2 linked regions of the Drosophila melanogaster genome follow. The protein of the gene in region 2 interacts with the protein of the main gene of each other region in a pairwise test. Each region holds a gene or a part of one and is shown on either strand. Other genes may lie near its edges.

What was found.
Region 1: the proteins of CG5770 (region 2) and Elal interact in a two-hybrid assay, tested with the Drosophila melanogaster proteins (one large-scale study listed by BioGRID).

Annotation. Positions count from the first base shown.
Region 1 is NT_033777.3:24,863,660-24,868,307, reverse strand, and holds Elal (Elastin-like), read right to left. Parts: upstream 2,959-4,648; 5' UTR 2,939-2,958; coding exon 2,464-2,938; intron 2,297-2,463; coding exon 1,782-2,296; 3' UTR 657-1,781; downstream 1-656. Other genes in the region: Srg1 (Sting-regulated gene 1), read left to right, coding at 3,602-4,030; CG7016 (uncharacterized protein), read right to left, coding at 4,239-4,648.
Region 2 is NT_033778.4:18,043,330-18,046,983, forward strand, and holds CG5770 (uncharacterized protein), read right to left. Parts: upstream 1,745-3,654; 5' UTR 1,718-1,744; coding exon 1,667-1,717; intron 1,612-1,666; coding exon 1,291-1,611; intron 1,228-1,290; coding exon 958-1,227; 3' UTR 717-957; downstream 1-716. Other genes in the region: CG5773 (uncharacterized protein), read right to left, coding at 1-92, 185-259; CG5767 (uncharacterized protein), read right to left, coding at 3,107-3,490.

The sequences.
Region 1 (4,648 bases), on a different chromosome or scaffold from region 2:
GCAAGGATACGAAGCGACTATGAAAGGCACGTGTGTCCCGTACAACCTGGAAATGCGCTGCGATCAACCCTCGTCCCGTGCACGCCATGTACGCCATGTGCATCTGTTCCTGTCGTCGTTATTAATGCTGTTATTTGTTAAGTCGTTCATGGACTCCCCTCCTTGCGCTCACATTCCCGCCCCTCGAAGGACGCTCACCATCAACTTCCCAGTTCCTGATCATACCGCCCCGCCCCGCCCTGCCTCAGTTCACCTCGTTTATCCATGGATGGTTGATAACGTTGCATTGTTGAAGTAACTAGTTATGTATGTACTCAGTGTTATGTATGTATCGTTTTGCGAGAGAATACCAATAAACATTTTTACGTCCGTTCAAAAATACTTCAATCTTTTTACCATCATTACATTCGGAAAACGGTGGGCGAAGTGAAAAAATTCTTACTTTTAATAGGGTAAGTGCAATAAATTCGTATTTTTATTTTTCTTTCTAGAAAACTCTTTTAAAAACCTGATGGAAGTTTCAAAATCGGGTGAGTATTAACTCAGATATAACTAGTTGAATGCAATTGTAGTATCATTAGTGTTTATGTTTACTTTAAATAAGTATTTTAAATTAGCTGTCTTTATCCAGCATGTTGGAAATGATCCTAGTTCCTAGGGGATTAAATAATTTAGGGCATTATTTTCAATTTCCTAGAATCTGGAATGTATGTATTTGTTGCAGTTCAATCTTTAATTGTTAGAAACAGAGCATAAACTCCTAGATGTCAAAGGTTAAGGGAAAACGTTTAGCACATCTAGACTTCTTTGCCGTGAGTATACCCATTACCCCACCCATTCTAATTCCTTTGTTTCGAATCCTCTCAGCTGAATCTGTGCTCCTTTCTCCGCGCTCATCATAGAACAGCTGATGGCTGATGACCTAAGGACATCAAACCCTGGCTGGAATCGGTTCGATTTGCTACAGGTAAAAACCACCGATACCGTCCGTCCAAATCATTCATAATCCATGAGTGTAAGTGTCTGTCTGTATACTCGTAGTCTGTATACCCCGGGCATGATTCTCTCGAGTTTCCTGCGGTTCCTTGCTTTTGGCGCGCTCGTCCGTCATTTTAGCGCCAAAAATTTGTTAAGGATTTGCGCGGCAGGCTGCGCATGCGCCGCAAGACATCAAGACGTCGTCCCTTGGTTGGGTTCCTTTCCTTTCCTTCGGCCCTCTCTTTTCCGCTGCACAGCGAAACCCAGCCGATTTATGTCGCTGCAGTTGGGTCCAGCGAAGGGCACCAGGAGTACCAATACCAGTAACAGCGTCTCTCTCTGACGCTGATTTTCTACCACCACCTTTGGCTCGCCCAGAGTCCTGCCTTTGTGCGTTCCCTTTTTTTCGGCTGCCTGCCAGCCAGGTAGCTCCTGTCGTCTTCGATTGTGTCCACGCCGGATAAAAGAAGCGGCATTGCCATAAGAATAAGGAAAAGAATAAGGATGGGATGTGAATGTCTTGGGTTAGCTGTCTGTATGGGAGCAGAATGCCGAGTGCATGTGCTTTATTTTTTCCGGTTCAAGGTGCAACTGGTAACTGGCCAGCATTGCTAATTATCTTGGTTGGGTGTGCAGAAATCAAGTTTATTTCGCAGGGACACACAGGATGATAGGCAAAGACAGCTGCCTCTGGCCAAGGAGGCAGCAGCGAAGTTATGACTACGACTCGGATTACTTCACGCCCCACCAACACCATTACCACTACCACCACCACCGAGGTCCACCCATGATGTCGGCCAGCTTCAGTAGGCCGGCGAGTTGAAGGCACCGTTGTATCCGCCCCCATATCCACTGCCATAGCCAAAGGCATTGTGATTGTTCAGCACTCCAAATGGTCCCTTGTGGACGCCATCCTCCTTGTACTCGGTGTTCATCGAGAAATGATGGTCCCAATGGCTCGGATCAGCGGGATTGTGAGCCGGATAGCGATGATAGTTCATGCCGCTGGTGGCAGGAGCCTGACCAGCTGCTCCGGGCACTCCTGCCACTCCAGGTGCTCCCGGAACTCCAGCTACTCCAGGAACTCCTGGTTGAGCCACAGCTCCGGGTAGCACTCCATAGGCGGGGAACTGGGCTGGTTGAGGGTACGCTGGGTACTGTGGCAAGTATACTCCGGGGTAGGGATAGCCAGGATAGGCACCAGTTCCCGGGAAGTAACCAGGTGCTCCTGCACCCACTGGCTGCTGGGGAGGAACTCCCACCGGATACTGAGCAGGAACTGCTCCAGCAACAGGATAGCCAGGAGGAGAAACAGCACCTAAAAAGGGGACATTTCATTAATATCATAATTTCATATATATTTCAAAATGTGGATTTGCTATTCACCAATCTTTTAAATTTTGTATAACTTTTTTGGGAGTTAAGACTTGATATTAGTTTTCTGATTTCACTAAGATAAATGAACCACCTATTAGAAGGACCTACCTGCACTTTGGTAACCACCGGATGATGAGGATCCTCCTGAAGAGCCTCCTGCAGCTGGGTACGGAACTGGAGCCTGTTGTCCAGGAAAACCCGGAGGCGGATAAGCGGGAATCTGGTGACCTCCTGTAATTGTGAGTGCCGGATTTGGTGACTGGTTGCCAGGAAAAACAACGGAGTTCGTACTGGCCACTCGTACGCCAGAGCCACCCTGCTCATGGCCATGGGCATCGTCGATGGATCCAGTTGCGCCCGCATAACCCGATCCCAGCTGACCAAGGCCAGGATAAAGTTGCGAATTGAGATTGGCCCGCTGGCGATGGCGACTGCTGGTAATGCCTCCCGTCAGAGTGGAGGCCAGGTTAAACTCCGTCTTCTGATCCTCCTGACTTTCGTCCCTGCTGAATTGCGAGGCCTGACCGCTGGCTATCTGGATGAGGGCCAGAGCGGCGAATGCGATGACCCTCCTGCTTAACATGGCGTCTTTGGGTACACTAAAGCCCAGAAGCTCACGGCGCGTGTATTTCATGGTGAGATCTGATGACACGAGAGCTTAGCTGAGTGTCTATTTTTGGGGTTATCATCAGGGGCTCAATGCCCAGATATGTAGTTTAAGTCTCATTGAGTGTTCTTTCTAGTAAATTGAATGAGAGAGTCTACACTGAAAGCAAAAGTTGAAAATATAACACAACAATGTGCATATGCATAGATACTAGCCATAAATTTGAACAAATAAATGAATTTTTTAAAGAAATACCCATATACAAATTTATAAATATAAATGTTATATATAAATTTCTTGCAATGTATAAATTTGCGGCCTAAAGCCAAGTAATAGATAAGTTGAGACGCATTTTTGGTTTAGGGATTTCCCAAGCAATTCATAACTCATCTTTGCATAGATGATGATCATGAGTTATGATCCTCCCTTTATATAGAGAACGAAAGCTTTCCCAGTCAACCTTGTTTACCAGTCAATAGATTAGTATTATAAGTACATATGTACATATAGCATTTGTTCCATTACCCAAGGTTCTTCCACTCGATTCCATTCATCTTTCTTATCGCCATGTGCTGCTGCTGGCTATAAAAGCCGCATGGACATTGGGACTATCAGCAAAATTGCTCTACATATCCCAAGATGCAGTTGTTGGCTGCGATTCTAGTGCTAATCCTGGCCAGCTTGGCCCACGGTAGACCCACTTTCGATAAGATTGCGGAGCTTCTGTTCGGCGACCCAAATCATTATCCGCCAGCAAGGCCAGTTGATCCACAGCTACATCCTGGACCAGGTCCACTCATCCAGGAGGGCTACGAGCAGGGCTACGACTATCACTATGGTGGAGGCTACGGCTACGGTGGTAGCCACCAGCAGACGCATCCAGGTGGCTATGCCTATTACCCACCACGACCGGTTCCGGCAGCAAATGACTACTATCCACCACCTTGGTCAGTGCGTCCTTCGCCTGGATACTACTCTCAGCCGTCTCATCCTGCCAGTGTCCATTATCCGCACAAGAATCAGGATCTTTACGGAGGTGGAGGTGGTTACAAGCAGCGGGGTTACTAACGTTCATCCGTCAGATACCCCAGTCTCATCCAATCATGTGCTGTCTCATTTGTTTATGTGTAATTTATTAAAATTTCGTTTATTTCCAACGAGCTTTTAGAACCTGTTTTGAACTTATGACAAAGACGATCTCGGGTGGAGCAATTGAACAATGGTCTACGAATATATATACAACAAGTGTGAATCGGGGAACTCCCTCTTAGAAGATTCATCTTCGTCTCACATCAATGGGAATTGAGGGAACCTCCGGGTTTGGCACATGGATATATTTGCTAGAGCTGGGGAATATAATAGCACGATTTTCGGAGAGTTCGTCCAATGGTTTTGGCAATGGCTCCGGCACGATCCAAGTGGGAAAAGTGGGCGTGGGTGGATCCGGATTATGGGGCGGCACCAACGGCGGTCGATTGGTTCCTATTATGAGCGTATCCTTCGTTGGCTGAGCGGTTGGACGTGGCTGGATCGTGGGAAAGGTGGGCTCTGGCTTAGGTGTTGTCGTTGGAAAGATGGGTCCTGGTATTGGCGTTTGTGGAGTGGTGCTAGACTCATTATCTGGATTCCAATTCGTGTTTGGATCATTGGGATCCGGCTGATCGGGGAGGCGTGGATAGTTATCCC
Region 2 (3,654 bases):
GTCTGGCAGCCGGGACCGGTTTGCGTCTGGCTCTGGAAACCATCGTCAGAGATCTGGATGCCACCGCCATTATTGCATTCCACGGGTGCCGCCTGTTGGAGATTACGAAAAGGGGGTTACGGTTACTCGATTGTCACCAACCCGGTCTCATTTTCATTTCCATTTTCAATTTCATTTTCATTACATTCAGACCGGATAGCACGCACAATCCGGCGAGCAAAACAGCAAATGCGACGACTGCCACGCGTTGGCCTTCCATGTTGAATGTCGAATGTTGGAATGGTGAATGCTGGCTGAATGGGTAATGTTTAATGGTCCGAGAACAAAATTCGACTGAGCACAAGCCACTGTGTGTGGGCACACTTTAAAGCGCCAACAGTCGCAAACCGGAGAGATAATTGAATGTATCGCCGATAAGGCCACCTCCGCCGATTGAATATTTATGCCCGCTCGCCAATCGAAAAGGTGTAAGTTCGGTCAGTCTATTCTATTCTATTCTCCGAGTGTAGGTAAAAACTTTCCATTGATGCTGCCTGCGGCTTGTGGGCAACTCATCAGTCTGTTCCGAAATCTTGTGCCAGAAATAACCGAATATTACACGAAAGTATATTTGTGAGAGCATCTGTACTCCGTTGGCAAAAAAATATAAAAAATACAACAGCCTTTTAGGATTTCCCTTAGTCACTAGGCATGTACAATAGTACACATTATAAAATAACTAAACGACTGAAACCAATGCGACTTTATTTCACTGATCACTTCGTTTTTAAAATTTCATCTGAAACAAAATTGATTATGTTAAGATTTCAATTGGCGATGTCTGCAGTATAAAACCAAGCTACTGTGAATTTGGCAATATAATTGAATTATTTGTTTTCTTTTGTTTGGTTTAAAAAATTACTGAACGATACAAGTTTTTATGGATTAGAATATGTTAAAGTTTCGAATGCTAACTACTCAAAGGCCAAATAGGAAACCCCCGTCTGTGGTAGAGGTAGTTTGAGGGGCGGCTGATGAGGATGTGGCGGTAGTGGTGGGCACTCCATTCTTGAGGCAATTGTCCAGCAGATCGTAGGTGGCAGCTGTATCCCGGACGTAGTTGTTCTGCGTTGTGTTGGTGCACTGGTACTCGGTGTCCTGGATGGCTTGGATGCCCGAGCTGAAGGAGGTGGCCGAGCTGGCAGCGTTGCTGGCCAGGTTGTAGATCACAGAGACGTCATTATCAGCCTATAGGAATATTTAAAATTCAATTTTTCAATACTTTCACTATTTCATTGTGCATTTTCTTACAGCATTCGCGTAGCAGTTGAAGAAGTTTGCGGTATCATTGTTGCTGTCGCAGGCGGTAAAGGCACTGCAGAGTGTTGAAACGTCGGACTGATAGGTCTTCTGCTGCTGCTCCGCCTGGGCGGTCAAATTGGCGATCTGGGCATTGGCGGTGGTGATGCAGTCCTGATAGGAACTCGAGAAAGTGGCAGCCACTTGATTCAGCATAGGCATGTATAAGTTGAAGCACTGCGTGGTCATATCCTCGGAAACAAATGTATCCAGACTGCGAGCATGCACCAAATACTGATCCAAGGCACTCTGGATCTGGTTATTGGGCTTGGCCTGGAAACGGAAGTGGTTACTCTCGAGAAATAAGCGGATGTGCCGTTTTGTTTACGTTGGCCGCCAAAACGCTGGCGAAGATAAGCACGGTGCACAGAATATTCATGTTGACGGTTATTCCTTTACTGGGACTACTGTAGACCAGGTCTAAATGTTTTATATACCCGTCTGGTCGGTAAAATGATGGATCCGTTTGACCAACTTGAAATTCGTGTGATTTCTTTGTTGCAAGTGAATTCCGATCAATTAGGTAGCATTAGGCCGTATGACCAGACGGCTCCAATCGATGAGTCAAGTCGAAGTGCGGATAACAATATAATGTAGTCCACAAGCACCTGGTCTTTCAACTTATCAAAGGTAACTCAACAGCTTAAGAGTTTACAATCCATGGAATTGATTGCTGTAACTATTGGGCCACAAAGCCCAAAAACTTAGCGAAAACTATTCCTATCAATGTGTCATATTCAAATATTGAATGAACATATAAACTTTATGTAATTGAAAAGAAATCCCAGCTTTATTTTTTTTTTTTTTTCGATCTTAAAGCCTTTTAATTCGATATAACCAGATCTTTGAGCAAAACCATACGACTATATCATATAATGATGTCGTACAATTAATTGAAAATAATAGAAAAAAATGCTTCAGTATTTTAAATATATATTTACAGCAAGGGTATACAAGCATCGGTTTTGCCGAACCTGACTTCCTTACTTGTTTTGAATAACATTTGTTTTTCGGCAAAAAGTATGCAACATTTGTCTCAGGCAATCTATATAAAGTTAGCCACCACCCTCATGACCTCCCTAACCTGGTTTTGACCTAGAAAGTCTTAGTTTTAAAATTCATTAGAATAATCAAATAAATAATAATTACTATGTTATATCAACTATTATAATTCTCCCTATCATTTTTAGGATTAAAAATCTGTTAGTCTTAAGTAACCAAGACACATTGTAAAATAAAATAATTTAAGCAGATCAAATTAAGTTGCCGCATGGGTAACAGTGCGTTGATCAAATAATAAAAACATCATCGTAATAATGAAAAAAAAAAAAAAAAAAAAAAAAAAAATATAAAGTTAGCAGTTGTAATCAAATCCTATATTTTTAATAAATGAAATGAAACTCTTATCCGGCTAAAATATGTAAAATATATTATGATGACTCTTACATGCCATATGTAAAAACTTGTTTGCTCGTAAATCAACTATTTAAAAGATTTCTAGTTCATTTGACTTTTTATAGGTACTTAATGTGCTACCAACTATCTCAAGAGAGAGAGAGTGACGGTAGTAATAATATGTAAGTGTTAATAATAACTTAATGAAAAATAAAAATTTAAACAAATAAGTTTAATTGAGTTCCTTTAAATTTACATAATGATTTCGACATATAAAATAAATTTTTCTGTTCCTAAATAATGTTTAAAGGACACCTTTCATAACGTTTTTTCAAATGTTCATTTATTGCTTGTGATTACTTAAAGTTGTGACTTAAGAAGAGGCCGAAGTGCCGGAAGTGGCGGTGGTCGCCGGAGCAGCGGTTCCGGGTGCAGCGGTGGTCACAGCCACAGTGGTGTCAGCAGCGGCGGTGGACGATGCCACAACAGTGGTGCCATCAGTGACAGGAGCCCCGCTCGAGCTATCAACGGGGCTGGTGGAGGAGGGGGCGGCGGTGGAGGTGGTGGGCACTCCGTACTTCAGGCAGCTGTCCAACAGATCGTAGGTGGCAGCGGTATCCCGGACGTAGTTGCTCTCCGTGGTGTTGGTGCACTGGTACTCGGTGTCCTGGATGGCCTGGATGCCTGTGCTCAGGGAGTTGGCCGAACTGGCGGCATTGGTGGCGATGCCATAGATCACAGATACATCACTCTCGGCCTAAGGAAATAAAACGATACATTTTTTGTAACACATTAAGATTAGGTCTAAAAAAATTGACCTAGTCTCCGGCCTTTCACCATATGCGAATTACCTATACTTGTTGGGGCATATGAGTACTACTTGAACCCTAGTCTATGTTAACAACTATCATTCGGAAGATC